Macaca mulatta: one gene and its partner. The protein of the gene in region 1 interacts with the protein of each later gene in a biochemical or structural test. Links are inferred from orthologs where the notes say so. Each region holds a gene or a part of one and is shown on either strand. Other genes may lie near its edges. The genes, in order: PLXND1 and SEMA4A.

Region 1 (16,089 bases):
TGTTCCCAGTGCCTGGGCCGCGAGGACCTGGGTCACCTGTGCGTGTGGAGCGACGGCTGCCGCTTGCGGGGGCCCCTGCAGCCCATGCCTGGCACCTGCCCCGCCCCCGAGATCCGCGCGGTAAGCACGCCCAGTGGAGGCACGTGGCACCCACACTCTGGCACAGCTCATAGGCAGCATCCACAAGGGTCCCACTCCCTGGGGACTCGAACACCAACACATACACCGGCTCATGGGTGCAGTATCACCTGTGAACAGAAGGAAGTGCTCTGCCTCACAGAGCTGACGTTTCAGTGGGGGAGGTGGACAGTAATAAATAAGGAAATGAGTAAATTATAGAAGGCATTGGAAGTGTGGAGTGGAGGAAACACCGAGGGCTGAACGTTGTTAGCTTTGGGGGATACCATGATCACTAAAGCCACCAATGACATGACCAAACATTGCCCCTGGGAGCTGACCTCAGCATCCTGCAGGAGAACCCCTAAGTAACATCCCCGGGCCCACATGGGCTCAGTAATGCACACACATATCCTCCTTGGCAGCACAGTGACCTGCCAAGTGGCCACTGCCCCAGCCCCACCTGAGCCCCCAGACCTTCCTTTAAGCATGCCCGTGCCCTGCTGGGTGCCTGTGACTGTGGGCAGAAGCCTGCTGGCCTCCAGTCTCAGACCCCATTTGCCCCTCTCTCGGGTCACCTGGCAGATTGAGCCCCTGAGTGGCCCGTTGGATGGCGGGACCCTGCTGACCATCCGAGGCAGGAACCTGGGCCGGCGGCTCAGTGACGTGGCCCACGGCGTGTGGATTGGTGGTGTGGCCTGTGAGCCACTGCCTGACAGATACACGGTGTCGGAGGAGTGAGTAGCCACGGTGCCCCCACCCACCCTCTCCAGCAGTGCCAGCCTCTGCTCTGTCCTCACCCCTCCCTCCCCATCCTCCGTCCTCACTCTGCTGCTTTCTGGAAGCCTGTTGCTTCGTGGCCTCGGGGACTGTGCCGAAGCCATTCCCACCACACATCCTGCCATTTCTGCTTGGGGCATCTGCTTTATCCTTCCAGCTCTGTCTCTGATGCCAGCTCCTCTGGGAAGCTCTCACAGGCTGCCCTAGCCCAGCCTTTCTTCCACCTAAGCCTTGCTCTGAGGAAAATCATTTAAAATTAAAAAGGCTGGGGCTACTGGCATGGTTCAGAGATCTATGACTGGCCCAGAGGGGTCCTAGGAAACATGCATGAGCAGAGACTGAGCTGGCTTTCCTTTCGGGAGGCCGTGCGTCTGGCATGTGGAAGAGCCGTCATCTACCAGCCCAGCAGACGTTCTCATGATCAGAGACCGTCTTGTCCCAGCCCCTTGTCTTATAGTTGCAGAACTGTGGGAAACTCATGGGGTAAATTATACACAGAAGGCATTGGAAGTGTGGTGTGGCGTGGAATGGGGCAATCCCTGAGCCTGGCTCCAGGGTGGCCGTGGGGGCTGAGGACTGCTGGCCGCTCTCACTGACCACAGCACCTCCCCTCAGGATTGTGTGTGTCACGGGGCCAGCCCCAGGGCCACTCTCAGACATAGTGACTGTGAACGCCTCTAAGGAGGGCAAGTCCCGGGACCGCTTCTCCTACGTGGTAAGGGGGGCTACAGCCCACTGTCCCGCCTGCCCAGCACACACGCTCCCGGGGGGCTGGCCCAAGGCCCAAACACCTGCCTTCCTCCCACAGCTGCCCCTGGTCCACTCCCTGGAGCCTCCCATGGGCCCGAAGGCCGGAGGCACCAGGATCACCATCCACGGGAATGACCTCCATGTAGGCTCTGAGCTCCAGGTCCTGGTGAACGACACAGACCCCTGCACAGAGCTCATGTAAGCCTCTGGGCCTGACCCACCCCTTCTAGTCCAGAGAAATCAACGGGCTTGGGGGCTGGTGGGCTGGAGGTGACATCCTTGAGCCAAGCCTCACCTGAGTCTTCATTGGCTGTGTCCCCTAAGCCAAGCCACTTCTCTCTGAGCCTCAGTTTCCTCAGCTGTCAAGAATAGTACCAGTAATTGGAAGAAGGGCTTTTTGTGCTAGGTATACAGTAGATGCTCCATAAGTGATAGCTGTAATGAGAATGGTGTTGATTGCACACATTCAGATCTTCTGGCTGGCCCAGGGGTGTGGTGAGTGGCAGGGGTGTGGTTGGAGTCTCTTGGCGAAACACCTTTGTCTTTATTATGCACTTATTGTGTACCAGACCCTACTAATGGGCATTGCTGGGACACCAAGAGGAGCACAACATAGCCCTCAAGGGAAGGGCAGACACACCCACAGGAATTAGGAACATCCAGTGGGATTGGGAGAAAAGTCAGTGCCTTCAGGGATCTAGGGAGAGAGGTTTCACCAGGGGTGGAGGCGGGAGAGAAGACCTGGGAAGGCTTCCCGGAGGAGGTGGGATGGGGCAGAATTTGGAAGTATAAGGAAACAGCTAGGTGCTAAGATGAATTGGGACCAGTCAAGGAGGCCTTGAACCCCGGGCCAAGTGCATGGGCCTGTGCCCCAGGTCTCAGGGGCATTGGCGGTGGGTGAGCAGCAGGAGGCAGGCCCTGCTGATAATCTGCTGCTCCCCCAAGGCGCACAGACACCAGCATCACCTGCACCATGCCTGAGGGGGCCCTGCCGGCTCCGGTGCCTGTGTGTGTGCGCTTCGAGCGTCGGGGCTGCGTGCACGGCAACCTCACTTTCTGGTACATGCAGAACCCAGTCATCACGGCCATCAGTCCCCGCCGCAGCCCTGTCAGGTAAGACTGGCACCCCGCCCTTCCCTCAGGCTCTCTGGGGCTGCAGGTGGACTGATAGGTTTTGCCGTCCCCCGCAGTGGCGGCAGGACCATCACGGTGGCTGGTGAGCGTTTCCACATGGTGCAGAATGTGTCCATGGCCGTCCACCACATTGGCCGGGAGCCCACGGTGAGGCAGTCAGGGGCCTGATGGCTGGGAGGGGGTGGCCCAGGCACAGCCAGGGCCCTAACTGACCAGGCCTCCTCCCACTGCATCTCTGTCCCCTCTTCCTCCCTCTGCCTCTGTGTCTCCTCAAACCCCACTCCCCCCGTTTCTCCATGTCCATCCGTCCATCCTGCACCCCGGTCTTGGCCCCTGGCCCTCATGCCCCAGCTCTGCAAGGTTCTCAACTCCACTCTCATCACCTGCCCGTCACCCGGGGCCCTGAGCAATGCATCGGCAGCAGTGGACTTCTTCATCAATGGACGGGCCTATGCAGACGAGGTGGCTGTGACTGAGGAGCTACTGGACCCCGAGGAGGCACAGCGGGGCAGCAGGTTCCGCCTGGACTACCTCCCCAACCCACAGTTCTCTACGGCCAAGAGGGAGAAGTGGATCAAGCACCACCCCGGGGAGCCTCTCACCCTCGTCATCCATGTGAGCATGGAAGGGGCCAGGGTAGGCGGGGGCAAGCGAGCCAGCCTCAGCCATGGGCCTTGGGAGCACTTCCCCACACCACAGTTCTCCCCCTTTGCACCCACAGAAGGAGCAGGACAGCCTGGGGCTCCAGAGTCACGAGTACCGGGTCAAGATAGGCCAAGTGAGCTGTGACATCCAGATTGTCTCTGACAGAATCATCCACTGCTCGGTCAACGAGTCCCTGGGTGCAGCCGAGGGGCAGCTGCCCATCACAGTGAGTGGATGGGGTGCCGGAGCAGGGCAGACCCGGCCCCCACCCCTGGCCCATCTGCCAAGCATCTGCCCGTTACCCAGCACCTGAATTCACTGAGCGTTTTCATGCTCAATAGCTCAGTCCAGCAAAGCAGAGCTTTATATCCCCACTTGACAGATGAGGAAACTGAGGCCCAAGAACTTAGTGACTTGCTTGAGGTCAGTGATGGGCCCCATCTGGACCTGGACCATCAGAAACCATAAGAAGTTGTCCCTACGCCACTTGGTGTCTGTCCTAGAGCCTGGGCTGCCAGGCACCATGTAGAGGCATGGAGGGCAGGGGAGCAGGAGGAGCAGAGAGAGGCCAGAACGTGGGATCTTTTCTGCACTGTATCTCGTTGCATGCCTCCTGGGATGGGGAGCTCACTCTCTCCCAAGCAACATGTGCCACCCCAGGATGGCTCTGACTGGGAAAGCTTCCTTTTACCTGCACCTCAGTCCCAGTCCTGCCCTCTGAGTCATCATACCTCACCTACCCCCTGGTCTCAGGGCAGCCCTGCAGATACTTGGGGACAGCAGCCAGGCCCCGTGAACTGCTTCCTCTGGCTCACTCACTACTCCTCCCAGGCTGTAATGATAATCACAGCCCCCTGTATTGAGCCACCTCTGTGCCAGGCCCAGGACCAAGGGCTTGACAAGCCCTCATTTAGCCCTCCCAGTGTCCCCAGGAGGTGGACATTGTTATCTCCATGTTATCAATGTGGCACCTGAGGCTCAGAGAGGTTAGGTAATTTACCCAGGGCCACACAGCAAATGAGGAGCAGAACCAGAGTGTAAGTCTAGGAGAGCTACAACCCCTCTCCCCAACCTCTACACAGATCCAGGTAGGGAACTTCAACCAGACCATCGCCACACTGCAGCTGGGGGGCAGCGAGACGGCCATCGTTGTGTCCATCGTCATCTGCAGCGTCCTGCTGCTGCTCTCCGTGGTGGGTAAGGAGCCCCATCCTCAGGACACCTTGGAGGGCAGGCTTGCCACCTTGCCCCAGCCCCTCTGAAGATTGGCAGATGGAGGAAGGCAGGATGGGATGGGGCACAGCTTGAACAAAGGCTTGGCCACGGGAACAGGTTAGGCACCCAGAGGTCGGGGGAGGTGTGCCCCTCTCCAGCACCAATGGGTAGAAGATGTTAGATGGCTGGGGGACATGCTGGGCCCAGGCCAAGGTCCCTGAATCTCAAGCAGAGAAATTTGGAACTGTGTTCTCCAGTCAATAGAGAGCTACTGAAGGTACTTAAGAAAAGGTTACTCAGGGAAAATTAACCTACATGTCTGGTGGGCTGTATTGCTGTTAAAATAATGGTCATGAAAGTAATAGACTCGACGTAGCAGAGAAACTGGAGCCGTCATACACTACTAGAGGGAATAAAACAAAGTGCAGCCGCTTTGGAAAACATTTTGGCAGTTTCTTAGAATGTGAAACATAGAATTACCCTATGACTTACGAGCCAGCAGTTCTACCCCTAGCTATCTGTTCAAGAGAAATGAAAACGTAGCCACACAAAAACTTATACACACGTGTTTACAGCAACATTATTTATAATAACCAAGAAGTCAAAACAACCCAAATGTCCATCAACCAATAAATGGATAAATGAAATATGATCTATTCATACAATAGAAAATTTTCCGTAAAATATGATCTATTCATACAATGGACAGTTATCCATAAAAAGGAGTGGAGTACTGATCCATGTCACCATGGGCATGCACCTTGAAAATATTACACTAACCGAAAGAAGACTCACCGAAGGCTGCATATTGTATGATGCCGTTTATATGAAATGTTTAAAATAGGGAAATTCAGAGAGACAGAAAGCTGAATGGTGATTGCCAGGGACTAGGGAGAGCATGAATGGGGAGTGACTGCTGAATGGCTACGGGTCTTCTTGAGGCAGTAAAAATGCTCTAAAATTAGTGGTGATGGTTGCACAACTCTGTGAATATACTAGAAACCATTGAATTAGGCCAGGCGCAGTGGCTGGTGCCTGTAGTCCCAGCACTTTGGGAGGCCAAGGTGGGTGGATCACTTGAGCCCAGGAGTTCAAGACCAGCTTGGGCAACATGGCAAAACTTTATCTCTACAAAAAAATACAAAAATTGCATGGGCATGGTGGCACGAGTCTGTAGTCCCAGCTACTCAGGAGGCTGAGGTGGGAGGATCACCTGAGCCTGGGAGGTGGAGGCTGCAGTGCGCTGTGATCGTGCCACTGTACTTCATTCACCCTGGGCAACAGAGTAAGACTCTGTCTCAAAACAAAAAAGAAAGAAAAGAAACCATTGAAGTATACACTTTAAATCACCGGATTATATGGTATGTACATTATATCACAATAAAGCTGTTTTATTTTTAAAGTGAGTATATTCAATGCAGAAAATTTTTGGAAAAACTGAAAGATGATAAAAGGAAAAAATACCCATCATTAGTACCCTGTGTATTTTTGTATATTCCCTCCCAGTCTCTTTTCTGAAAATACTATATATTAATAGATATTTTAATACATTATATATACATTCCTCCCCACCCCAGAAAAGGTTATAATGTAATACTGCTTTGTAATCTGCTTTTAAAAGTTTCTTAATTTACAAGTAACACCTGGTCATTGTAGAAGGAATAGAAAATGCTCAAAAGCAGAAAGTAAACAGAAGTCACCCAGAATCTTCCCACCCAGGAAAGCCGCTGTTAACCACTATTTCACACACACACGTATTCCTGTTTCTTTTTCTTTTTTTTTTAAGGGGGCTAGACAAATTCTAACAGAGCTGTAACACTACACATTTCTTTTTCTAAGAACAGGTCATCAGGCATTGCTTTGCTGGCCATTCCCCAAGCCCTCTGCCCATGGGAGAGCTCCCTGCAACTCCCCACCCCCAACCCCAACCCTGCCCAGGAGGGAGGACTGCAGGGCCTCCTCCCACACCTTGCCCAGAGGAGCTGGAGCTGAGGCCAGCGAGCAGAGCCCCAGGCCCTGCATACAGCAGGTGCCAATAAAAGCTTTTCAAAGGGCACTAGAGGCCTGACCTGCCTCTCCACTGCCCACAGCCCTATTCATCTTCTGTACCAAGAGCCGACGTGCTGAGCGTTACTGGCAGAAGACGCTGCTGCAGATGGAGGAGATGGAATCTCAGATCCGCGAGGAAATCCGCAAAGGTAATGGGCTGGGACCCTGCAGGGCTGGGCCTCCACTTTCCCTCCTGGGGGATGGGTTCTCGGGCCACTCATGGCTGTCCGCGTGTCCGCCAGGCTTTGCTGAGCTGCAGACAGACATGACAGATCTGACCAAGGAGCTGAACCGCAGCCAGGGCATCCCCTTCCTGGAGTATAAGCACTTCGTGACCCGCACCTTCTTCCCCAAGGTCAGCCCGAGCCTGAGTCTGCCCCTGAACCTGTGCCAGCCACCTCAAGGCAACTCAACCTCTCTGAGCCCTGCCAGCCTAGAGGGTCCCTTGAGCAGTGCCAAACCTGCACAGCTGTCCACAGCCGTCCTGGCCACTTGCCCTGGCCTGCCACGGGGTGGAGGGTTGGAGGCAGATTCTTCACTCTTATTCTCTGCTCACTTGATGTTTAACTGTCCACACGGAAGCCAGCTGTAGCCCCACTCTCCTGGCCAGCTGGGCCTTCCTCTCCCCTTTTCAAGGTGGGGCAGAAGTGGCCAGGGCTGTCCCATGCCAGCCTCTCTCCTCCCTGTGCCTCTTCCCAACCAGGCTTCACTTGGTCTCTACACTCCCTCCTCCTGTCCAATGGACTCCTGCCCCACCCCTTCCATGCCTGTCACGCCTCCCCTTGCCCTTCCAGGGTCCACTGCCCTCGCTCCCTCCTGGTGGTACCACCCTCCGTCCCCTGTCCACACCATTCCCCACAAAGCGGCCAAAGCAAGCCCATGTTTGACTACATCATTTTTCACGAAACTCTCCAGTGGCTTTTCCCAGCCTCAGGCTAAAGCTCAGACTCCCAACCTCTCTGCCTCAGTTTCCCCCATTGCACATGGAGCTGCTTTTGCTTCCCCTTAAGCCTTGTGCTGTCTGGTGTGGCCATACTCCTGGAATTCCACAGCCCCCGGGCGTGGCCCACTGCCTCTTATTCCTTTATGGGGAGCTAATTCTGTGCCAGTTTCCCCCAGCAGCCCAAGCTGGTGCCCTTTCTGTATGAGTGACCTTTGCATGCCAGCAGGGGGTGTCCAGCCCCACTGAGATGCTGGGGGTCTGTCTCTGCAGTGTTCCTCCCTTTATGAAGAGCGTTATGTGCTGCCCTCCCAGACCCTCAACTCACAGGGCAGCTCCCAGGCACAGGAGACCCACCCACTGCTGGGAGAGTGGAAGGTGAGTACCCCCCAACCCACACACAGTGGGCTACTTCCAGGCAACCCTGCTCCTCCCTTTCCAGTTCATCTAATCCATTGATCCTTGTCATGTGGAGGCATCTGCCATTGTAAGGTACTGAGGCCTCCATCCCAGGAGGCATTCAGGCAGCCATTCAGGGTGTTCTAAGTGCTGCCCCCCAAGGCCAGGTAGAGCAAACAGAGGATTGGACCCCCTCGTACACCCACTCCGCCTGCTGCTTAGAAAATGGAAGGTGAGAGTCCCTCACACTGGGATGCCAGGTTATCTTCAGGCACCCTCACCCTTCTCTGAGCCCCACTTCTCAATTCAACCAAGCCATTGTTCCCTGCCACAAAGGTTAGGAGGCATCCACCATGGAAGGTAATGAGCTCCCCATCCCAGGAGGCATACAAGCAGCCATCATAAGCACTGGCTGTTAGGCTAGGCAGGGACACTGGGCCCCTCTGGACACCCCATCACCAGTTGCTCCCACAGATTCCTGAGAGCTGCCGGCCCAACATGGAAGAGGGAATCAGCTTGTTCTCCTCGCTACTCAACAACAAGCACTTCCTCATCGTCTTTGTCCATGCGCTGGAGCAGCAGAAGGACTTTGCGGTGCGCGACAGGTCAGGCTGTGATGGACTGGGGTGGGGTAGGGAAGAGGAGCCTGTCCAAGGCCACACAGCATCAGGTCCTAGGTCCTGGGGCTCTGGGGCTCCTGACACCCCCATATTCCAGCCCTTCCTGGGCCTGGATGCCCGAGACCTTGGCTCACGGGGCACGGTGGTTGCTGCGGACATAGAAGAAGGTGGTGTTTCTCCGGGAGGATTCCAGCCCCACTCACCCCTCGCAGGACCCACCCACACAGGCACTCCTGGGACCGCTGGGCCCAGGGATGAGGCGGCACTGAGACCCTGGGACCCACAGCTCCTAGGGCCTCAAGGCGCAGCTGACACCTGCCTCCTGCTCGCAGGTGCAGCCTAGCCTCGCTGCTGACCATCGCGCTGCACGGCAAGCTGGAGTACTACACCAGCATCATGAAGGAGCTGCTGGTGGACCTCATTGACGCCTCGGCCGCCAAGAACCCCAAGCTCATGCTGCGGCGCACAGAGTCTGTGGTGGAGAAGATGCTCACCAACTGGATGTCCATCTGCATGTACAGCTGTCTGCGGGTGAGGCCGCCCGGGGACAGACAGAGCCCAGGCGGGGGCTGTGGCAGGGACGCGGCAGCAGTGACCCCACGGCCTCCCAGGCCTTCCCTGGCACCCTCAGGCCAGCTCTGCCAGGAGGGAGTGTTGCATGAGACAGGCCAGGCTGTAGGGCCTGTTATGCAGAGCGGGGAGCCGTGGCCCAGGGGAGGCCTGGCTGGCTTGCTGCAAGGGCTCAACAGATGCTTGGGGCATAATAGAGGTTGTGTCAGGGGCCTTGTCCCATCCGTGGTTTTCTCAGTCATCCACCCTTCCCTGCTTTGGATTCAGGAGATGAAATCAGCCCCTGGCTGGCCCTTGAGGCTCTCCTAACCCTAAGGGTGAGACGTGGAAACAAAATACAGAGTGGCCAGTGCCTTGCAGCAGAGCTCAGCTCATGAGGCCTCCATCTGTCTGGAGGCTTCAAGGTGGCTTCCTGGAGCAGGCGACCCTGTGCTGAGACCTCAGAGAGTGGGCCGGGCGAGGATGGTGGGGAGGGTGCTCCAGGCATCAGGTACAGCAGGAGGGCAGAGGCCAGGAGGAGGGGATGTTCATGGAAGGAATGGAAGGAAGGCCAGAGAATCTTCCAGATGAGAGCAGAGGCTGGGAAGAGGGTGGGCCTGGTAGGCAGGGCCTCCTGCCTTCTGCCAGAAGGACCCCCGTAAGCTCTCTTCTGCAGAGCAAGGGTTGCTCAGCCTCTGGTCTTGTCCCACCGTCCAGCTGCCCTACAGTGCTGGAGGCTAGAGGGCTGCCTGGAGGATTGTGGGAGAAAGGCAAAGGCCTGCCTGGAGCCCAGAACCAGGGCCTCAGATGTTCTGTTTTGTTGTTGTTGTTGTTGTTTAGTTTTTGAAGAGATGGGGGTCTTGCTTTGTTGCACTGGCTGGTCCCAAACTCCTGGCCTCAAGCAATCCTTCCGCTTTGGCCTCCCAAAGTGCCAGGATTACAGGGGTGAGCCACTGCACCCAGCCAGGATGTCCTGGGCTTGAGTCTGATCTTTGGCACATCCCAGCTGTGTGACTCTGGGCTACTCATTGCCCTCTCTGGGCCTTGGTTTCCTTCTGTCAAATGGGGCCTCTGCCCCTGAGCCGGGGGCTTGAGGGAGCCCCACGGCCCCTTCTGGGGGAAGGGGGTAGTGGGGTGGAGCAGAGGCAGGGCCTGCGAGGGGCCATCGGGGTGCTTTCACCTTCCGCGGGCTGCCTCACTGTGGGCCATCAGGAACCACAAGGGCCACTGTGGACCCTGGACCTTACTCCCCTGGCTTCTTTCTGTGACCTCAGCCAGGCCTTCCCCTATGAGCCTGTTTCCTCCTCTAGAAAGCAGGGAATCAGTGCCTCCCACGCCCCAGACCTGGAGAATTGGACCAGGACTTGGGCTGGCAGGCTGCCTTCGTAATCTTTGCCAAATCTGCCTAATACTATTATGTACTTAATTTTTCTTTAAATCAATTTTGGTGGGTAGTTAAGTAAAACTATCCCAGTAGAACACCTGGGTCCCTTGCTGGACAATGGCCTTGAGAATCAGCTCATGGCTGTGGGTCCAGCAGAGCCACTGCCTGGAGGGCCACCCGTGGAGATGGGCAAGAGCAGGGACTATGAGCCTCATTCCGCCTGAGACTCCACGGTCATCAGCCTGCGAGTGGGGTCGAGGCCACATCGGTGTTCCGGGTCCACCTAAACTCACCCTTGGGGCCACCCACTTAGGAGAAAGTCACAGGCTTGGGAGTCAGCCGAGCCAGGTCCGATTCCTGCCCTGCCGCTTCCCAGCTGGGTGACCCTGGGCAGGTCACTTGCCCTCTCCGAGCCTCGGCACTGTTGGCTGCACAGTAAAGATGATACTGCCTATCCGGAAGGGTCGCTGGGATGAGGCAATGAATGCCCCCACCCACAACTGGTGCTGTTTAATGAACACAAGCTTAGGGTCCATGGAGACACCCTGGAGAGGAGAGTGTTACACCAGGATCCAAAAGGAGACTGAGGGGTGGGGGGACGGGGGCGTGAAGGTGTTTGGCCCAAGGCGTGGGGGCTGGAATACAGAGGGGACCTTGGCCCTGATACCCCCGTGCACCCCAGGAGACAGTGGGGGAGCCATTCTTCCTGCTGCTGTGCGCCATCAAGCAGCAAATCAACAAGGGCTCCATCGACGCTATCACGGGCAAGGCCCGCTACACACTCAATGAGGAGTGGCTGCTGCGGGAGAACATCGAGGCCAAGCCCCGGGTGAGTCGGCAGGGTGGGGAGGGTCCCAGGGCTGGTGCATCTTGGCCTACGGCATTGACCCAGCCTTCCTGGGCAGGGCATGGCTGCCTGGGTACCGGCATAGTGATGGCAGCAACTCACTGACCTTTCTCTCCCACTCTCCCCTTGCAGAACCTGAACGTGTCCTTCCAGGGCTGTGGCATGGACTCGCTGAGCGTGCGGGCCATGGACACTGACACGCTGACACAGGTCAAGGAGAAGATCCTGGAGGCCTTCTGCAAGAATGTGCCCTACTCCCAGTGGCCGCGTGCAGAGGACGTCGACCTCGGTGGGTGGGAATGGGGGCAGAGACCCCGAGTCAGGTGCTTCAGCCGGGGCTAGCCCCTGCCTTGACGGGAAACACTCCTTTCACCTGGCATGGGTGCATGAATGTGGGGACACTGAGAGGATCCAATGAGGCCCCCTCGGCAGAAACAAAGGGAGACAAGTCCTGCAGTGTGAGTGAGCTACAGACAACAGCAAAAAGCCTTCAGGAAAGGCTTCCTAATTCCTAAAGGAGGGATGCTGGAGTGGGGTTTATTTGTTTGTTTGTTTGTTTGTTTTTGAGACAGGATCTCATTCCGTCACCCAGGCTGGAGTGCAGCGGTGCAATCTCAGCTCACTGCAGCCTCCACCTCCTGGGTTCAAGTGATCCTCTCATTTCAGCCTCCTGAGTAGCTGGGACTACAGGTGTGCACCACCACATCCAGCTAATTTTACTTTTTGTAAAGATAGTGTCATGCTATGCTGCCCAGGCTGGTCTTGAACTCCTGGGCTCAAGCGATCCTCCTGCCTCAGCCTCCCAAAGTGCCGGGATTACAGGTGTGAGCCACCACGTGGGGCCTGGAGTGGGTTTTATAGGATTCTGGGTTAGGCCAAGGGTTTCATCAGCAATTGTAACATTAACAACCCTGCAGACAAGGCCATTTCCAGAGCTCCTCCTCTGTGCCCTCCACCCTGGCACCTTCACTGTGTACCCTCACATTCTCTCCCCCAGCTCTTTCCTGCTCTCTCCGTTTTATGGATGGGAAAATGGGGGCTCAGAGAGAGGTATGGCTTTCCTCATTTTCCATGGAGAAAGCGAGAGGCCTCTCCCTGTGTGACTGGGCCAGTAACCACCCCTCAGGCCCAGCTCCCTGCCCAGACCCTGATGGCCTGCTCCTTGTCCCCCAGAGTGGTTCGCCTCCAGCACACAGAGCTACATCCTTCGGGACCTGGACGACACCTCCGTGGTGGAAGACGGTCGCAAGAAGCTTAACACGTTGGCCCATTACAAGGTGCAGCCCTGCCCCCCTGCCCTGCTTCCCCACCCTCATGCCCCCACCCCGACCTCCAGCCTCTGACCTCGGCCTCTCCCCTCCCATCAGATCCCTGAAGGTGCCTCGCTGGCCATGAGTCTCATAGACAAGAAGGACAACACACTGGGCCGAGGTAGTGCGGGTGCACGTGGGAAGGAAGCCTAGACTGCATGTGGACGGGGGCTTCCATCCCATGCCCCTGTGGGGAAACTGAGGGTCCGAGAGTCACGGCTGGCCTGGGCTGAGGCCTCCTTGGTGGAGACTGGGCGGGGCCAGCCTCCTCTGACCCAGTACTGCTGGGGCAGGGCCCACACCAGGCCTCCTCAAGCTGATTTCCTGCGGCAGCTGGAGAGAGGCCCCGGGAGGGCGGGCTGCAGTTCCGGGAGGTCTGGGCAGTGGCCAGGCCAGAAGGGGGGCCAGCATGCCCGTCTCAGCCTTGGGCCATGTCCCTGCCTCAAGTGCCCCCTCCACAGCCTCAGACGCCCCAGGCACAGCCGCCTGGCTGCTAGGCCTGCCAGCCCGGGCTCCTCTGGGTCTCGGGGTCCCCTCCTAAGGTTGAGAGCAGAGTCTCGGTCTCTCCCAGCAGCCTGGGAGTCTGGGCTGGCAGGAGCTCTGGGCTCAGGGGTGGGGTGGGTGAAGGAAGCCACCTCTGCCTGCCTGAGGCCTCTCCTCCCCCGTGGCTGCATCTTTCTGTTTCTCTCCACCGCTGTTCCTCCCTCCAAGTCCCTCCATCCCTGTGGTCACTGTGTGTGTGTGTCTTTCTCTCTCTGCCTCACTGTCTCACTCTCTGTGTGTCTCTGGATCTCACTTATCTCTCTCTCTGTCTCTCCCAGACTCAGTCTCCCCATGAGTCTCTGCATCTCTGTCTCATTCTCTCTGCCTGTCTCTTTGGATCTCTGTCTCTGTTTGTTTCTCTCCCCATCTTTCTGTCTCTGCTTCTGTTTCTCTCCCCATCTTTCTGTCTTGTTTCTGTTTCCCTCTCCCCATCTTTCTGTCTTGTTTCTGTTTCCCTCTCCCCATCTTTCTGTCTTGTTTCTGTTTCCCTCTCCCCATCTTTCTGTCTTGTTTCTGTTTCTGCCCTCTTTTTCTGTCTTTGTTTCTGTTTCTCTCCCCATCTTTCTGTCTTCATTGCTGTTTCTCTCCCCTCCTCTCCCATGTTTATTTATTGTGTTTTTCCTCTCGCAGTGAAAGACTTGGACACAGAGAAGTATTTCCATTTGGTGAGTGCCCAACCTCGGCCCCAGGGGATCCAGCCCCTCAGTGGGTGTGGCCTTGGCTTTCTGTGGCCCTGGGCCTCTGGGAAAAGTGCTCCCGGCCCTGAGAAAGGCTGGGGGTGGGGGAGTAGGGATGGGGCCCAGAATCAGGAGGGAACCACAACCCTTGTGTGCTAAGAAGCATGGCAGAGCCAGACCTCCCACAGGCGGCCGAGAGTGGGGCCTGGTGCGGACACTGACCACTGCCCGGCTTCCCAGGTGCTGCCCACGGACGAGCTGGCGGAGCCCAAGAAGTCTCACCGGCAGAGCCATCGCAAGAAGGTGCTCCCAGAAATCTACCTGACCCGCCTGCTCTCCACCAAGGTGGGTCCGGCTTCAGTCTCCCCTCCGTGCAGTGGCTACAAGGCTCCAGCCCCAGCCCCAGAGGGTCGTTGCTCAGGGCCAGCTGTGCACACACGGCTGGAAGAGGGGTGTGAGTTCTTCCTATTCCCCCTGTGGGGCTGGAGGGGCAAGAGGCTGAAGGCTTAGGGTCCCACTTGAGGCATTTCTCACAGCCAGGAAAAATGCCTGACAGACACTTCTATGTTAGCCCACGTAACAGGGTACAGCAGAGGCCCAGAGGGGTCAGTGATGTCCCCAAGGGCACGTGGCTCAGTGGCAGCGCTGGCACCCCACAGCCCATACTCTGGTGCCTCCAGTTCTCGACTACATGTGCCAATGCCTTGATTAGTCCTTTCAACGCCTCTGTGAGGCAAGTTTCGGATGCTGAGGCCGGAGAGGCTCGGTGACCAGCCTGACGCCGCGTGGCTCCCTCATTCAGCAGCCTGGGCATTTCAAGCTCTGCAGAGCCACCAAGGGTGCCCACTAGCCCTCTGCACGTGGCCCGGGGCTGACGGCGGCCACCCCACTCCCCCGCAGGGCACGCTGCAGAAGTTTCTGGATGACCTGTTCAAGGCCATTCTGAGTATCCGTGAAGATAAGCCTCCGCTTGCTGTCAAGTACTTTTTTGACTTCCTGGAGGAACAGGCTGAGAAGAGGGGAATCTCGGACCCCGACACCCTACACATCTGGAAGACCAACAGGTGGCGGGGCGGGGGCCGTGCGGACTTCACTGTGCCATTGGGGCCCCTGTGGCAGGGGGTTCAGAGTCTAGTCTCTGGCCTCGCCTGCTTGGGCTCAAGCCCTCCTCTGCCTCTTCCTAGCTGTGTGTTCTTGGATGAGTGACTTAGCCTCCCTATACTTCAGTTTCCCCTCCACTGTAAAATGCAACCCTTGTTAATGGTAGGAATTAACTAGAAGAGTGCCCAGAGCATGGTCTAGGTGTTGCCCTTACTATCATTCTCCCACACCCCTCTCAGGCGGGTGCCTTCACAGATGAGCACACTGAGGCTCAGAGAAGCAGTACCTGCTCAAGACCACACAGCCTGGGACAGTAGAGCCAGGCTCGGCCCTACATTATCTGAATCCCTTACCCAGTTGGTAGCCCTCCTTCGAGGCACCTCTTAGCTTGTCGGGGTCACACACCCCCACAAGAAGTTGCTGGAAACCCAGCCTGACCCTCAGGAAGAATACCACCAGCCCAGGCGCCTGTCTGCAGGCCAGCAGCTTCCCAGAGCTCTGGGGGTGCACATGCCCAGGCTGCTGAGTCACCGGGTGGCCTGAGGTGGGGTTGGGGGTGTTGCTTACCCGCTCTGGCCTCTCGAGGACAAGGCCAGAGCTCCAGGCCCTGCCCCCCACAGCCCTGCCACAGCTGCTCTGCTAATGCTAGACTTCCTGCTGCCTGCAAGGGTTCAGGGAGGAGCCAGGGGTGCCCGGGGGCTGGCACCTGGTTCTAATGAGAACCAGGACCTGGCTGGAGGATCAGCAGGGGGTTGGGGGTGTAGCTAAGCCCTGCAGCTCCTGCCTTGCTCCAGCAGGAAACCCGGCTCTCAGCCCCACTGCCACCTCAAAGGTTCCCAAAGGTTACATCTTGTGACAAGGCCCCAACCTCAGGCCCTTGAGGGACAAAGTCAGCTGTCTTCTCCATGACTGTCCCTTGACTGCTTCCTACCCCACCCTACCCTCACTGCCTTTGTCACCCTACCCCACAGCCTTCCTCTCCGGTTCTGGGTGAACATCCTGAAGAACCCCCAGTTTGTCTTTGACATC
Region 2 (16,089 bases), on another chromosome or scaffold:
CAGGGAGAAGACTCAGGAAAGGATATAGACACTGCAGGAGTTGTAGGTGACTGGGCGTGGCTGTGTCTTTAGCATCTTTCTGGGGCAATCAGTAAAGGAAACGTATATTGCCCACTGATGCAGAGACCTCCTCTGTGTTGGATGCAGGGCGTACAAACATGGATAAGCCTCAGCCCCTGCCCTCAAGGTGTTCACAGTCACAAAGGGGGAAGCACATGAGCAAGCAGACCATCAATACAGGGTGATCTGTTCAGTAACTGAGGGATTTATGCAGCTTTGGGGGAGGCCTGGCTTCCGGGAGATGCTCCTCCCTGAGGCCAGCCCTTCCAGCCCGCAGCTGCACCATATTCCCCAACTCCTCCCCTCTGTCCTGTGTAAGATTCCCTGAGCCTACAAACGTATCAGTTAGCTAGTCAGCTTTCTAACTAATGCAACAGTGCAAGTGCTAATAAGAGAGGATCTGAGGAGCTCCTTCCTCCTCGCTGATGTGCCAGTGGGACAGGAACATACACCCCCACCCACCCCACAATGCCAAGGTCATGGAGAGGAGCCTCCCACACCTGGCTCACTATCTCTGCCCAGGGGACATCCAGCCATGCCCACACAGATCTTTGAAGAAAAATGCTTCCTCTCTGTTTATGGTGACTCTACTGGTGGGAATTTCCTTTAACAGAAGAGGAAGAAAGCAGGGGTGGTTGGGGGGGTGGCGAGAGGGACCCTCTGACACACACCCTCCTGTCTGCATGTAGCTTTGCTGCTTGTGGCTGCCAACACTTTCCTGTTTGTCTGTCTGCCTGCTGCTCCCCGTCCTACTGAGGACCAAGGCATCCTCCCCCATGGTAGCCCTCCCTGTCCCAGGCCTGGAAGAGCATCCATTGTGCCTCACTTTATTTCCTGTCCCCATTACTCTGTCTCTGGCTGCCTCTTCTCTCTACTGTGGGCTCAACACACAAAGCTCTTGTGGCTGCCGGCAGGGTGGGGTGAAGGGGAGAACTGCTGGTGGAGGAGAGTGGGTCTAGCTGCCAAGGCCCGGGGAGCACACTCAGGCAACCCTTCCCCTTCCCCCACTTATATCTCAGGAGTCAGCTGCCCACCAAGTCCTCATCACTCTCTCCTTCTTACTACCTCCAACAGGGGATGAACGTAGGGCACTCAGCTTCTTCCACCAGAAGGGCCTCCAGGATTTTGATACTCTGCTCCTGAGTGGTAATGGAAATACTCTCTATGTGGGGGCTCGAGAAGCCATCCTGGCCTTGGATATCCAGGATCCAGGGGTCCCCAGGCTAAAGAACATGGTAAAGAGTCCAGGGATAAAGAGTGTGGGCTGGGAGTGAGAAGGGGGCCAGCAGCTGCCCTGGGCTTGGCTGCCTGTGCATGAGTAACAGCTCAGTTGCTGCTATCTGTAATCAGCAGTTCTCTTTATATGTATATCGTGACAATATAACAGACAGGAAATGTTGTGGCCTCACTTTTTTTTTTTTTTGAGATGGAGTCTTGCTCCGTTGCCCAGGCTGGAGTACAGTGGGCACGATCTTGGCTCACTGCAACCTCCACCTCCCGGGTTCAAGCAATTCTTCTGCCTCAGTCTCCCAAGTAGCTGGGACTACAGGCACACACCACCATGCCAGGCTAATTTTAATAGAGATGGGATTTTACCATGTTGGCCAGACTGGTTTCGAACTCCTGACCTCAGGTGATCTGCCTGCCTTAGCCTCCCAAACTGTTGGGATTACAGGCGTGAGCCACCATGCCTGGCCTGTGACTTCACTCTTCATTGGTATTGTGAATAGTGATTGAATAATATTAATTGCAAAAATGGCTGATATGGAAATCATTGACATATGAGATAAACATTGACTCAAATTATGTCAACAATTTGATATCTAACCACTAGTAGAGATCACTGATGCTTCTGTGTCTTTTTTTTTTTTTTTTTTTTTTTTGAGATAGAGCCTTGCTTTGTCACCCAGGCTGGAGTGCAGTGGCGCGATCTCCGCTCACTGCAAGCTCCGCCGCCTCCCAGGTTAACGCCATTCTCCTGTCTCAGCCTCCTTAGAAGCTGGGACTACAGGCGCCCGCCACCACACCTGGCTAATTTTCTTTTTGTATTTTCAGTAGAGATGGGGTTTCACCGTGTTCGCCAGGATGGTCTCCATCTCCTGACCTCGTGATCCGCCTGCCTCAGCCTCCCAAAGTGCTGGGATTACAGGTGTGAGCCACTGCGCCTGGCCTTTTTTTTTTTTTTTTTTTTTTGAGACAGAGTCTCACTCTGTTGTCCAGGCTGGAGTGCAATGGCATGATCTCGGCTCACTGCAACCTCCGCCTCCTGGGTTCAAGCAATTCTGCCTCAGCCTCCTGAGTACTGGGATTACATGCGCCCACCACTAGGCCTGGCTAAAGAGATGGGATTTCACCACGTTGGTCAGGCTGGTCTCGAACTCCCAACCTCAGGTGATCCGTCCGCCTCAGCCTTTCAAAGTGCTGGGATTACAGGCGTGAGCTACCATGCCCGGCTGCTTCTGTCTTAGTCACCCTATTACTGGGAACAATGTGAGGAAGGAAGGAAGAAAGGGAGAGAAGGCACTAGCAATATAGTGATCACCTCCGTGGTTCGTGTATCCTGATGTGTAGTCTGCTGACCACCTGCACATATGAGATGCTGGTTAAAAATGCAGATTCTCTAAGGCGTGACCCAGGAACAAACATTTTAAACAATTTCCCCAGGAAATGTGCGGTTTGACAACTGCTGCCATATATACCATTCTTCGTGTTAGGTGTTTTGTATATGCCACCTGGTTGTATCTGCCAGTAGCCTATGAAATTGACCAAGATCTCTCAGTCAGGAAATAGCCAAGTCTAGATTTAAACTTGGGTCTGTCTGATTCCTTAGGCTGTGTTCAACTATGGAGCTATGTCTGATATCAGTATTATTCAAGTAATAGCCATGGTCACAAACTGATGCTATTACTGCCCATCAGCATATCACTAAGCACCATGCCTGCTGTTGATTTCACATCAGAGAAGGGAAGCAGGTCACAGTGAGAACCGAAGACCTCATTTCTTTTCATCTTGCCCTCCCAACTCCCTACTTTCAGATACCGTGGCCAGCCAGTGACAGAAAAAAGAGTGAATGTGCCTTTAAGAAGAAGAGCAATGAGGTAAGTGGAGGTGGGGGAGTGGGGGTAGAGTGGGTAGAGAGCCCTGGCATCCCTACACCATCCCTGGATAGCCTCAGGTTGGGCGGCAGTGGAGGGCGCTTGTTTGCATGGTTATCTCCTGGATTATGTTCTACAGAGAGGTACAGGGACTGCCCCAGCATTACCCAGCCTTTCTCCTCAGTGAGGGGGCAGGCTCTGGGGGTCCAGGAAGTTGAGGTAAGTGGCCTGGAGACCTAAATTCTCTGTCTCCCTCAGACACAGTGTTTCAACTTCATCCGTGTCCTGGTTTCTTACAACGTCACCCATCTCTACACCTGCGGCACCTTCGCCTTCAGCCCTGCTTGTACCTTCATTGTGAGTTCTCTGGTGCCCAGTGCTCAGGCCCCCAAGCATTCCTTCCCACATCTACCCTCGGCATTCCTCTGTAGCTCTGGAAAACTCTGGCCTTCCAGATGCAGGACCCTCATCAACTTCCTGGCCCCAGACCAATTTCCCTCTATGTCACTTTCCCTTCCTTCCTCAAGCCCCTCATTTCCCAGATGTGAGACCTTGGCGTTCTGGCCCCCCAGCCTCTCTCCCCATTTAGGAACTTCAAGACTCACACCTGTTGCCCATCTTGGAGGACAAGGTCATGGAGGGAAAAGGCCAAAGCCCCTTTGACCCCGCTCACAAGCATACGGCTGTCTTGGTGGGTGAGTATCAGGTTTCTCACCTCATCCCAACATCTGCTTTCTCCAGTCACGCTGTGAAATATGGAATAGTACAGAGTTTTCCGAAAGGCAGGAAAAGCTGGGTGTAGTGATGGATACGTATGGTCCCAGTTATTTGGAAGCCGAGGTGGAAAGACCCTTGAGCTTAGGGGTTTGAGTCTAGCCTAGACAACACAGGGAGATCGTCTCAAAAAAACAAAAACAAAAACACACACACAAAAACCAGACTTTAGTGCCTTATGCCTGTAATCCTAGCAGTCTGGGAGGCTGAGGTGGGTGGATCACGTGACCCCAGGAGTTCGAGACCAGCCTGGTCAACATGGTGAAACCTCATCTCTACTAAAAATACAAAAATTGGCCGGGCGCGGTGGCTCAAGCCGGTAATCCCAGCACTTTGGGAGGCCGAGACGGGCGGATCACGAGGTCAGGAGATCGAGACCATCCTGGCTAACACGGTGAAACCCCGTCTCTACTAAAAATACAAAAAAAAAAAAACTAGCCGGGCGAGGTGGCAGGCGCCTGTAGTCCCAGCTACTCCGGAGGCTGAGGCAGGAGAATGGCGTAAACCCGGGAGGCGGAGCTTGCAGTGAGCTGAGATCCGGCCACTGCACTCCAGCCCGGGCTACAGAGCAAGACTCCGTCTCAAAAAAAAAAAAAAAAAAAAAAAAAAAAAAAAAAAATTAGCCAGTCATGGTAGGGCGCACCTGTGGTCCCAGCTACTCAGGCGGCTGAGTCACAAGAATTGCTTGAACCCGGGAGGTGGAGGTTGCAGTGAGCCGAGATTGCACCACTGCACTCCAGCCTGGGCAACAAAGCAAGACTGTCTCAAAACAAAACAAAACAAAACAAAACAAAACAAAACAAAACAGGCAGAGGAAAGAGAGAGGGAAGCCAGAAGCCTCAGATCACAAGATCAGAGGGAGAATTAAGCACCCCCAATCACCAACTCCTGCTGAAATTGCCACAAAAAGTGGTGGAGAAAGATGGATGTGGAAAGACACAGAGGCACGAGGGTTCGGGAAGGGTATTGGGTAGAGAAGAGGCCTGAGAGTGAGCCGCTGTTCAACAATCGTGTGAACACTTCCTCTGGTGTACTGGGCACTGTGCTGGGTAGTATAGGAGTTATAAACAAGAAATCAGACCAGGTGTGGTGGCTCACACCTGAAATCTCAGCACTTTAGGAGGCTGAGGCGGGTGGATCACTTGGGCTCAGGAGTTCGAGACCAGCTTGGGCAATAGTATAGTCAGACCTCGTCTCTACTAAAAAAACAAAACAATAGCAACAAAATTAGCCGGACAAGTGCCTGTGATCCCAGCTACTTGGGAGGCTGAGGTGGGAGGATCGCTTGAGAAGGTCAATGCTACGGTGAGTTGTGATGGCACCACTGCACTCCAGCCTGGATGTGAGCAAGACCCTGTCTTGAAAGAAAAAAAAAGAAAGAGAGAGAGAAACCATGTTTCAATGCACTACTGGACACCAACTATTACAGACTTCCCACCTGGCTTCCTGGAGGAGATGGCCTTCGGCTTTTCCACAGGACCTTGAAGATGTAGACAGATGGCAGGGAAGGTGTTCCAGGGAGAGAAGGGTAGGACCCAAGGTGTGGAAATGGAAAACACAGTCACCTTCCAGGATCAGTAAGTGATTCCACTTGGCAAGTGGTTCAGCTAGGTATGTGAGGGAGTAGCCACAGAAAGGCTAGAAAAGTGCCCAAACACGGAGGGCCACACAGGATGGCCATTTCCTGTGGAGAGAGGAAGCTAAGAGGGGTGCTTGGTGAGGAGGGGAAGCTGGGCTTTGGGGCTCCCTAGGAAGGTGCAGAACTGATGCAAGGGCCCCAAGACTGATATGGATGCCAGCGTCGGTCAGAGGCAGGTCTGTGGAGGGCAGAGGAGCCGTCCACGCCATCAGTTCTCTCTTCTCCTCTCCCCCACCCTAGATGGGATGCTCTATTCTGGTACCATGAACAACTTCCTGGGCAGTGAGCCCATCCTGATGCGCACACTGGGATCCCAGCCTGTCCTCAAGACCGACAACTTCCTCCGCTGGCTGCATCGTAAGGACCTGACCCCCGCTGGCCCCCTTTCCTGAGTCCCGGTGACCTTGCTAATTCACTCAACTCTCATTTGTGGAAGGTACAATGTGTCCATTACTGTTAGGCGCAGGGGGTATATGGCAGGGAAGAAGACAAAGCTCCGGTCCTCTTGAAGCTTTCATCTTATGTAAACACATTAAAGAAGCACCAGTCATCCCCTCCCCACATCGCTACCCCTGGACAAGCTGTGGGACCCAAGGAAGCCTGTGTCCTGGCCTCCAGGGCCAACCCAAGGGTTTTCACTCAGGCAAACCGAGGGCATCCAGGGGCTCAGTCCCTAAGCCCATCTGCCCCTCCCCCGCAGCGGACGCCTCCTTCGTGGCAGCCATCCCTTCGACCCAGGTCGTCTACTTCTTCTTCGAGGAGACAGCCAGCGAGTTTGACTTCTTCGAGAGGCTCCACACATCCCGGGTGGCTCGAGTCTGCAAGGTCGGCGGGCGGGGCGGGGGGCGGGGCTAACTGGAGGATTACCAATAGGGAGATGGCAGGGGCGGGACTGAGTGGTGGGTCCCCAAGGAGAGCGGAGGGGAGAGGAGGGGAGCGGAGGGGAGGGGAGGGGAGGGGAGGGGAGGGGAAGGGAGGGGAGGGGCGGGGAAGGAGACCAGAGGTGCTGGGGAGCGCGGGGTGGGGCACACGGGGCTGGGGGTGCGGGGAGCACACACGGGGTTGGCGGGACGGGGACACGCGTGGCTGGGGGTGCCCCCTCATTCTCCCTGTACCCCCAGAATGACGTGGGCGGCGAAAAACTGCTGCAGAGGAAGTGGACCACCTTCCTGAAGGCCCAGTTGCTCTGCACCAAGCCGGGGCAGCTGCCCTTCAACGTCATCCGCCACGCGGTTCTGCTGCCCGCCGATTCTCCCACAGCTCCCCATATCTACGCAGTCTTCACCTCCCAGTGGTGAGCAGCAGGGCCGGACCGTGGGGACTGGACACGGGACTTGACTCCAGTGAGGCCCCGGCTCGTGGGCGGAGGCAGGAATTGACATGAGCCAGCACCTATTCAGCACTTTCACAGAGGAAGGCATTAAATTGTCACCACCTCTGAGAAATTTGACTCATGCCCTTTTTGTAGATGGGAAAAATAAGGCTCAGAGAGGTTCTAACTAGTTTATATTCTGCCTAGTTCCAAAAGGGATAGGAAGCATTTTGCAAAAGGCAAATATTAAAATCAATAAAATAGATAAAGAAATGGGAATAAAAGGAGAGTATGAGAAGCCAGGGATAAGGCCAACACACTACAAATGCTTGTCATAAGATGTAGTATAGTCCCTGGATGCCAGCCACAAATTTAGCTCTGCACTTCCTAATGGCCAGGGCAAACAGGGAAACACCATGGGTTTCATAAGATAAAGTCGGCCGGGTGCGGTGGCTCATGCCTATAATCCCAGCACTTTGGGAGGCCGAGGCGGGCAGATCATGAGGTCGAGAGATCAAGACCATCCTGGCCAACATGGTGAAACCTTGTCTCTACTAAAAATACAAAAATTAGATGGGTGTAGTGGCGCATGCCTGTAGTCCCAGCTACTCATGACCCTGGGGCAGGAGAATCGCATGAACCCGGGAGGCGGAGGTTGCAGTGAGCTGAGATCACACCACTGCACTCCAGCCTGGCAACACAGCAAGACTCCATCTCAGAAAATATAAATAAAAATAAAGTCATTGCTTGAAGGTTGAGAAAGGTTAACCGATTTGTCCAAGGTCCCTGAGCCATGGTCTGGCCCCACAGTGTTTAGGTACCTGCTGACAATGTGTGTATTTGGGGTAAGTGGGGTCTGGTATCCACAGGATCCAGAACTGAGAGCCTGGTGTATACAATAGTCAGCTTCAAGAGAGCAAGAGAAACAGACCTCCTGTCTCCACAGACCAGGGCTGAAGGAATAAAAACAGTCTGGTAGTCAGGCACTGGTTGGTTCTCTGAGGACCACGGATCCAAGAGACTGAAAGGAAGAGGGCTTTGTGTGGAGCCAGGCTAGAGCTGGTTACACTGTCCCTCCAATGGGTGCAGCCCAGTCTAGGCAGGACAGGCAGGGGCCACCCCAGGGCCTGAGCCCCAATTAATTCTCATTAAGGATAATCAGACTTCATATCCCAAGATGGGCCTAGAGCCAGGCCCTGGGCCAGAGTCAGGGAATTCCATGGGGCTTCCTTGGCCCTTATCAACACAGTGAGGGGAAGGAGTGGTAGCTGGAGGCTGGCCCAGCTCTCCACACTCTTGCCTCCTGGGCTTTATCACTGAGGGTGGGCCAGGGCTGGAGAGAGAGCTGCCTGGTATGGCAGAGACCACAGACAATGTTCCCTCTGGTTGTCTCCAGGCAGATTGGCGGGACCAGGAGCTCTGCGGTTTGTGCCTTCTCTCTCTTGGACATTGAACGCGTCTTTAAGGGGAAATACAAAGAGTTGAACAAAGAAACTTCACGCTGGACTACTTATAGGGGCCCTGAGACCAACCCCCGGCCGGGCAGTGTGAGTACTACCTCCCACACTAATCACAGTCTACACACACATGATGTGCACGGAAAAGCACCTATCATGGCATAGTAAAGGCCCAATAAATGTTAGTGCTCTCCACCCCACCAATCTTGTCTGCTCAGACATACACCTGGTACAGCTGCCTACATTCCACATGTGCCTAGCACCCTCTTATACACAGAGGAGTTGCCAGAGCCATCTCCCTTCACCAAGGCTAACTGTACACCAAATATCTGGGTATATCACTATGGAAACAAGGGAACATGGGCTGTGTGCCAAGGACTGTCTCGGGCATTGCCACCTGCCTTTATTATTTAACTTTTTAAAAAAATCAGAGACCAGGCGGGGTGTGGTGACTCATGCCTGTAATCCCAGCAATTTGGGAGGCTGAGGCAGGTGGATCACTTGAGGTCAGGAGTTCAAGACCAGCCTGGCCAACGTGGTGAAACCTCATCTCTACTAAAAATACAAAAATTAGCCGGGCATGGTGGTGCATGACTGTAATTTCAGCTATTGGGAGGCTGAGGTAGGAGAATCGCTTGAACCTGGGAGGTGGAGGTTGCAGTGAGCCAAGATTGCACCACTGCACTCCAGCCTGGGTGATAGAGTGAGACTCAGTCTCAAAAAAAAAAAAAAAAAAAAAAAAAAAAAAAATCAGAGGCCGGGCATGGTGGCTTATGCCTGTAATCCCAGCCATTTGGGAGACTGAGACGAGAGGTTCACTTGAGGTTAGGAGTTTGAGACCAGCCTGGGCAACATTGTAAGACTCTGTCTCTACCAAAAAAAATTAGCTGGGCATGGTGGCATGTGCCTGTAGTCAGCTACTCAAGAGGCTGAGGTAGGAGGATCACTTGAGCCTGGGAGTTCAAGGCTCCAGTGAGCTGTGATCATGAGAATGTACTCCAGCCTGGGTGACCAGAGTGAGATGCTGTCTCTAAAAAAGTTTTTAAATGAAAAAAAGAAAAAAAAAATCACAGCCTGGGCAATATTGGGGGGAACCCATTTCTACAAAAGAGAAAAAAATCAGAGCTATTATATGTACGTGATTTGAAGAATCAGATCTAAAATCAAATAGATCTATAGGGTTAACTACAAAAAGCAGTCTTATTTCCCATCCTCCACCTCGCCCCAAACATTTTCAACTCTTTTAGCTGATTCTTTTTAAATTTATCTCAAAATCTCTAAATAACATGCTTTTATTGCTACTTCTTGATGTTTCAGTTTCTGACAGTATCTGTTGAATTTCCATTGTAAAAGGCGAGAATTTAACTATGTTCCCCAACCCCCGTCTCCACCCAGTGGTGTGCTAGAGCTGGCTTGCAGCAGCTAGCAAGAACTGTTTTTGCACATCTTTTTCCAAATTTGTGTTCAGTGATATTATATTGGTAGCTTGAAATTAGCCATGGCGGAAGTATACATCACAGAAATCAGCAAACAATGCAAATCGGCTTTCTAACCCTCTCTCAACAAAACTGACTTGGACCAACATACAGTAACTGCACCCACCCCCAATCTCCTAATGTAATTTTCTGGTAATTTTGGTTAGATCACTATTTATATTATGACTCTTCTTATTCACAGCCGAGCCAGGTAGTAAGCCATGATTACTTTTCCTTTTTGCATAGTTTTGTTTTCCCTGGGGCTAGTAATTATCTTGACTTTTCTGCTTGCTTTGTTTTCTAAGCTCTTTATTTTTATTATTTTTTTCGAAACAGTGTCTCACTCTGTCACCCAAGCTGGAGTGCAATGGCGCGATCTCGGCTCACTGCAACCTCTGCCTCCTGGGTTCAAGTGATTCTCCTGCCTTAGCCTCCCGAGTAGCTGGAATTACAGGTGTTTGCCACCTCACCCAGCTAATTTTTGTAATTTTAGTAGAGATGGGGTTTCACCATGTTGGCCAGACTGGTCTCTAACTCCTGACCTCAGGTGATCCTCCTACCTCAACCTCCCAAAGTGCTAGGATTACAGGCATGAGGCACTGTGCCTGGTCGAAGCTCTTATCTTTAATTCAACCCCAAGCTCTTCCTAAATTATCTGAATCTCTTCTGAAGACAGACCTATTAGCTTTTCTAACAGTTTTGTCTTCCTGGAGAGCCTTCCTGTCTGCTCCAGTCTGGACTAGTGCCCTCTACTCCCGGAGCGCAGATGCCATCCTGGAATCCCCCTTCCTCATCAGCCTGGGGATTCCCCTTTGCCTCTTTCCTGTGACACATCTCGTGTTTCTTGCGTCCTATGGCTTCCTCTTTTTTTTTTTTGAATTTTCAACTGTCTCATTTTGGTGGAGGTTATCCTTTGTAGATTCCTGGAAAAGGATACATGGCAGGTAAAACATTTTAAGATCTTGAGTGTCTGAAAATGTATTCTACTTTCCTATTTGATAATTTGGCTAAGTATACGTCATTCTAGAGTAGAAACACATTTCCTTCAAACTTTGAAGGCCTTGCTTTATTATTTTCTAGCTTCCAGTGGTGCTGTTGAGAAGTCCAAAGTTATTCTGATCCCTAGCACTCTGAATGTAACCTCGTTTTATTTCACTGAAATCTTTTTTTTTTTTTTTTTAAATACTGATACTCATGGAGCAGGGCTACCGTATAGGCAGCGTGCCTCACTGCCCTCACTGCCCTCACTGCCCTCACTGGAATCTTGTAGTGCTTTTTCTTTGTCCTGGTGTTCTGAAATTTCATGGTGTTGTGCTTTGATGGAACACTACTCGTTTATTGTGCTGGGTGCTCACTGGGCCACTTCAGCCTGGAAATTAGTACTCTTAGTTCTTTCAGTTCTGAGTTTTCTTGAACTATATCTTCCTATCTTCTTCTTTTTTTTTTTTTAGATGGAGTCTCACTGTCATCCAGGCTGGAGTGCAGTGGTGCGATCTTGTCTCACTGCAACCTCCACCTCCTGGGTTCAAGTGATTCTCCTACCTCAGCCTCCTGAGTAGCTGGGACTACAGTTTCACGCCACCATGTCCGACTAATTTATTTATTTATTTATTTTGAGATGGAGTCTTGCTGTGCCCCCAGGCTTCAATGTAGTGGCTCTATCTTGGCTCGGTACAACCTCTGCCTCCCGGGTTCAAGCGCTTCTCCTGCCTCAGCCTCCCAAGTAGCTGGGACTACAGGTGCCCTCTACCATGCCCAGTTAATTTTTGTATTTTTAGTAGAGACAGGGTTTCACCATGTTGCCCAGGCTGGTCTCGAACTCCTGACCTCAGGTGATTTGCCTGCCTTGGCTTCCCAAAGTGCCGGGATTACAGGCGTAAACCACAGTGCGCGGCCTTTTTTTGGTATTTTTAGTAGAAACTGGGTTTCACCATGTTGCCCAGGCTGGTCTTGAACTCCTGAGCTCAAGCAATACACCCACTTTGGCCTCCTAAAGTGCTGGGATTCCAGGCATGACCCACTGTGCCCGGCCCTATCTTCTTTTCATTCAACAAATATTTTTTGAGGACACATGCGACTATTCTGGGCAGGGAATATAGAAGTGAGCAAAACACATGAAAGTCCTGGCCGGGCACGGTGGCTCAAGCCTGTAATCCCAGCACTTTGGGAGGCCGAGACGGGCGGATCGTGAGGTCAGGAGACCGAGACCATCCTGGCTAACACGGTGAAACCCTGTCTCTACTAAAAAATACAAAAAACTAGCCGGGCGAGGTGGCGGCCGCCTGTAGTCCCAGGTACCCGGGAGGCTGAGGCAGGAGAATGGCGTAAACCCGGGAGGCGGAGCTTGCAGTGAGCTGAGATCCGGCCACTGCACCCCAGCCTGGGCGACAGAGCAAGACTCCGTCTCAAAAAAAAAAAAAAAAAAAGAAAGTCCCGGGGCCGGGCGCGGTGGCTCAAGCCTGTAATCCCAGCACTTTGGGAGGCCGAGACGGGCGGATCACAAGGTCAGGAGATCGAGACCATCCTGGCTAACACGGTGAAACCCCGTCTCTACTAAAAAAATACAAAAAACTAGCCGGGCAAGGTGGTGGGCGCCTGTAGTCCTAGCTACTTGGGAGGCTGAGGCAGGAGAATGGCGTAAACCCAGGAGGCGGAGCTTGCAGTGAGCTGAGATCCGGCCACTGCACTCCAGCCTGGGCGACAGAGTGAGACTCCGTTTCAACAACAACAACAACAACAACAAAAAGAAAGTCCCTTCCCTCATGGGGCTTACATTCCAACGGAGTGTTTTCTCACTTTTTTCTGGACCTCCTAGACTAGTCTTCTCACTTTTTTTTTTTTTTTTTTTTTTTGAGGCGGAGTCTCACTCTGTTGCCCAGGCTGGAGTGCAGTGGCGCGATCTCGGCTCACTGCAAGCTCCGCCTCCCGGGTTCCCGCCATTCTCCTGCCTCAGCCTCCCGAGTAGCTGGGACTACAGGCGCCGCCACCACGCCCGGCTAATTTTTTTGTATTTTTAGTGGAGACGGGGTTTCCTTGTGTTAGCCAGGATGGTCTCGATCTCCTGACCTCGTGATCCGCCCGTCTCGGCCTCCCAAAGTGCTGGGATTACAGGCTTGAGCCACCGCGCGCGGCCGTCTTCTCACTTTTTTTAAGCTTTCCTACTGTCCAGGTCTTTGGTTGTGTTCTATTTTTCTGGAAGAGTGTCTCAACTTTGTCTTCCAATCTTTCTGTCAGGTTTTTCATTTCTGTGTTCAGAGACAGTGAAAGAAAAAAGAAAGAAGGCCAGGTGCAGTGGCTCACACCTGTAATCTCAGCATTTTGGGAGGCTGAGACAGGTGGATCACCTGAGGTGAGGAGTTCAAGACCAGCCTGACCAACACGGTGAAACTCCGTCTCTACTAAAAATACAAAAAGTAGCCAGGCATGGTGGTGCACACCTATAGTCCCAGCTACTCAGGAGGCTGAGGCAGAAGAATTGCTTGAACCAAGGAGGCCAAGGTTGCAGTGAGCTGAGATCGTGCCACTGCACTCCATCCTGGGTGACAGAACGAGACTTCATCGAAAGAAAGGAGAAGAGAAGAGAAGAGAAGAGAAAAGAAAAGAAAAAAAGAAGAAGAAAAAAGATTTTTCGTTTCTGCCAAACAGTCTCGACCTCCTGGGCTCAAGTGATCCTCCTACCTCAGCCTCCTGAGTGACTGGAACTACAAGCACCCACCACCACACCCAGTTATGTGGAGGCAGGGTCTCAAACTCATGGGTTCAAGCAATCCTCCCACCTTGGCCTTTCAAAGTGTTGGGATTACAGGTGTGAGCCACCATGCCTCACCTGGGATTGTATAGATTAAAAGAAATTTAAGACCAGGTACAGTGGCTCAAGCCTGCAATCCCAACAGTTTGGGAGGCTGAGGTGGGAGGATTGTTTGAGCCCAGGAGTTTGAGAGCAGCCTGGGCAATATAGCGAGACCCCCATCTCTACAAAATATTTAAAAATTAGCTGTGTGTTGTGCTGTGCGCCTGTAGTCCTAGCTACTTGGAAATGTGAGGTAGGAGGATCACTTGAGCCTGGGAGGTTGAGGCTGTACCCCACTGTACTCCAGCCTGGGCAACAGAGTGAGACCGTGTCTCAAAAAAAAAAAGAGAAAGGAAAAAAATTTACATAATCCCTTCCCATCTTCCATTTTTCTCATGCATTTTTTTGTTTGTCAGAGTCTTCCACAGCCTGGATCTTGATGACTGCATCTCTGTAGTGTAGTTTAAGTATTTCCTATAAATTGTTCAGTAGTTGGATCTAGAGACTTACTCAGATTCAGGTTTGGTTTGGAGGGGGGGCAAGATTACTTCATCCTGGTTGTGTGCTCTTTTCTCTGGATGCCTGTAATGCCTGGTGGCCCTCTTTGTGTGAAGGAAAGACTCTTCTTTGGCAGCATTTGCTTCCTGTTTCATGGGTGCACTATTTTCACGTATCTCTCTTAGGATAGTAATGATGGATTTCTGTGAAGTTTTCTTCTTTCTGATTCATTTCTATTTCCTCTTAGGTTTTTTTTTGTTTGTTTGTTTTTGTTTTTTTTGTTTTTTTTTGAGATGAAGTCTCACTCTGTTGCCTAGGCTGGAGTGCAATGGCGCTATCTCGGCTCAGTGCAACCTCTGCCTCCTGGCTTCAGGCGATTCTTCTGCCTCAGACTCCCGAGTAGCTGGGATTACAGGCACACACCACCATACATAGCTAATTTTTGAATTTTTAGTAGAGATGAGATTTCACCATGTTGGTCAGGCTGATCTTGAACTCCTGACCTCAGGTGATCCGCCCACCTCAGCCTCCCAAAGTGCTGGGATTACAGGCATGAGCCACCGTGCCCAGCATTTTTTTTCTTTCTTTCTTTTCTTTTTTTTTTTTTTTTTGAGATGGAGTCTTGTTCTGTTGCCCAGGCTGGAGTGCAGAGGCGCGACCTTGGCTCACTGCAATGTCCACCTCCCTGGTTCAAACGATTCTTCTGCCTCAGCCTCCTGAGTAGCTGGGATTATAGGTGCCCACCACCACGCCCACCTAATTTTTTTATATTTTTAGTAGAGACAGGGTTTCAACATGGTGGCCAGGATGGTCTCGAACTCCTGACCTCAGGCAATCTGCTCGCCTCGGCCTACCAAAGTGCTGGGATTACAGGTGTGAGCCACCGTGCCCGGCCTCTCTTAGGTTTTTGTTGGTTCTTTTTCTTCTTTTTTTTTTTTTTCTATTTGTTTATTTTGGTTTCTTTCTTTCATGTTGGTGGTTTTACTTACATGTCTGGTAGTCCTTGAATGTCTACTCATGTTTAACAGCGGGGGACCTTGAAGCTGTTTGGAGCTCTGTGTCCATAACTAAGGCTTGGAAATTTGGTCTCTGTTATGCCACCACTGAGAGTGGTCTGGCTGGGCTATTTGGTGGGAATCTTCAATGTCAGTGTCTTTACTGTATCTTAGGTCATTAAATCTTTCCTCTTAGACCTCCAGTCAGTTTCCCGAGCAGCCTCTTCTAGTCTTCTGCGTGGAGGCAGATGATCTGGCTCTTGGTGTCTGGGAGCCACAGGGGAAGAGGGTTGGGTTTGGGAAAGAGTCTCATCATGTAGTATACCTACCTGTATTGAATCCCCCTGCTTTCAGGATGGTGTCCCCATCAACTGGGCCTGCTATCCTTCATCCAGAAACCCTCTGTTTTACTCTCTCTGGTGGATTAACCTCCAGTCTTGGGCCAGGATGTGGAAGGGGCAGTCACCCAGGTCTGTGGAGTTTGGAGAGTACCAGCCTGTTTCTTTTTTTTTTTTTTGAGACGGAGTCTTGCTCTGTCGCCCGGGCTGGAGTGCAGTGGCCGGATCTTGGCTCACTGCAAGCTCCGCCTCCCGGGTTCACGCCATTCTCCTGCCTCAGCCTCCCGAGTAGCTGGGACTACAGGCGCCCGCCACCTCGCCTGGCTAGTTTTTTGTATTTTTTAGTAGAGACGGGGTTTCACCGTGTTAGCCAGGATGGTCTTGATCTGACCTCGTGATCTGCCCGTCTCGGCTTCCCAAAGTGCTGGGATTACAGGCTTGAGCCACCACGCCCGGCCACCAGCCTGTTTCTTAAACAGACTTTCAAATAATCCTCCTTATTTAGCATCCCCATTAACCTCACTTCCAGAGGTGCCTGAGATTAGTAATTCGTGAACTTTAGGAATCCTGCCTTCTAAATGTTTTGGGGCTTCCTCCAGGGCTGGCTTGAGAAGATTCTTCTCTCTCTCTCTCTCTCTGTTAAGTCTTTTCTGTTG

Evidence for each region.
Region 2: the proteins of PLXND1 (region 1) and SEMA4A form a complex in vitro, tested with the Homo sapiens proteins (2 studies listed by IntAct, with this or other methods). The link is inferred for Macaca mulatta from reciprocal best matches to the Homo sapiens genes PLXND1 and SEMA4A.

What each region holds. Positions count from the first base shown.
Region 1 is NC_133407.1:154,357,179-154,373,267, forward strand, and holds part of PLXND1 (plexin-D1), read left to right. Parts: coding exon 1-120; intron 121-702; coding exon 703-854; intron 855-1,512; coding exon 1,513-1,612; intron 1,613-1,705; coding exon 1,706-1,845; intron 1,846-2,592; coding exon 2,593-2,760; intron 2,761-2,837; coding exon 2,838-2,928; intron 2,929-3,132; coding exon 3,133-3,396; intron 3,397-3,502; coding exon 3,503-3,652; intron 3,653-4,508; coding exon 4,509-4,623; intron 4,624-6,731; coding exon 6,732-6,839; intron 6,840-6,932; coding exon 6,933-7,045; intron 7,046-7,903; coding exon 7,904-8,008; intron 8,009-8,503; coding exon 8,504-8,634; intron 8,635-8,981; coding exon 8,982-9,180; intron 9,181-11,264; coding exon 11,265-11,411; intron 11,412-11,561; coding exon 11,562-11,718; intron 11,719-12,602; coding exon 12,603-12,706; intron 12,707-12,796; coding exon 12,797-12,860; intron 12,861-13,912; coding exon 13,913-13,947; intron 13,948-14,199; coding exon 14,200-14,304; intron 14,305-14,859; and 4 more. UniProt on the Homo sapiens protein: Cell surface receptor for SEMA4A and for class 3 semaphorins, such as SEMA3A, SEMA3C and SEMA3E. Plays an important role in cell-cell signaling, and in regulating the migration of a wide spectrum of cell types.
Region 2 is NC_133406.1:110,761,470-110,777,558, reverse strand, and holds part of SEMA4A (semaphorin-4A), read left to right. Parts: intron 1-1,134; coding exon 1,135-1,295; intron 1,296-3,095; coding exon 3,096-3,158; exon of another isoform or gene 3,159-3,191; intron 3,192-3,339; exon of another isoform or gene 3,340-3,413; coding exon 3,414-3,512; intron 3,513-3,727; exon of another isoform or gene 3,728-3,744; coding exon 3,745-3,850; intron 3,851-5,808; coding exon 5,809-5,925; intron 5,926-6,268; coding exon 6,269-6,393; intron 6,394-6,689; coding exon 6,690-6,862; intron 6,863-8,276; coding exon 8,277-8,427; intron 8,428-16,089. UniProt on the Homo sapiens protein: Cell surface receptor for PLXNB1, PLXNB2, PLXNB3 and PLXND1 that plays an important role in cell-cell signaling. Regulates glutamatergic and GABAergic synapse development.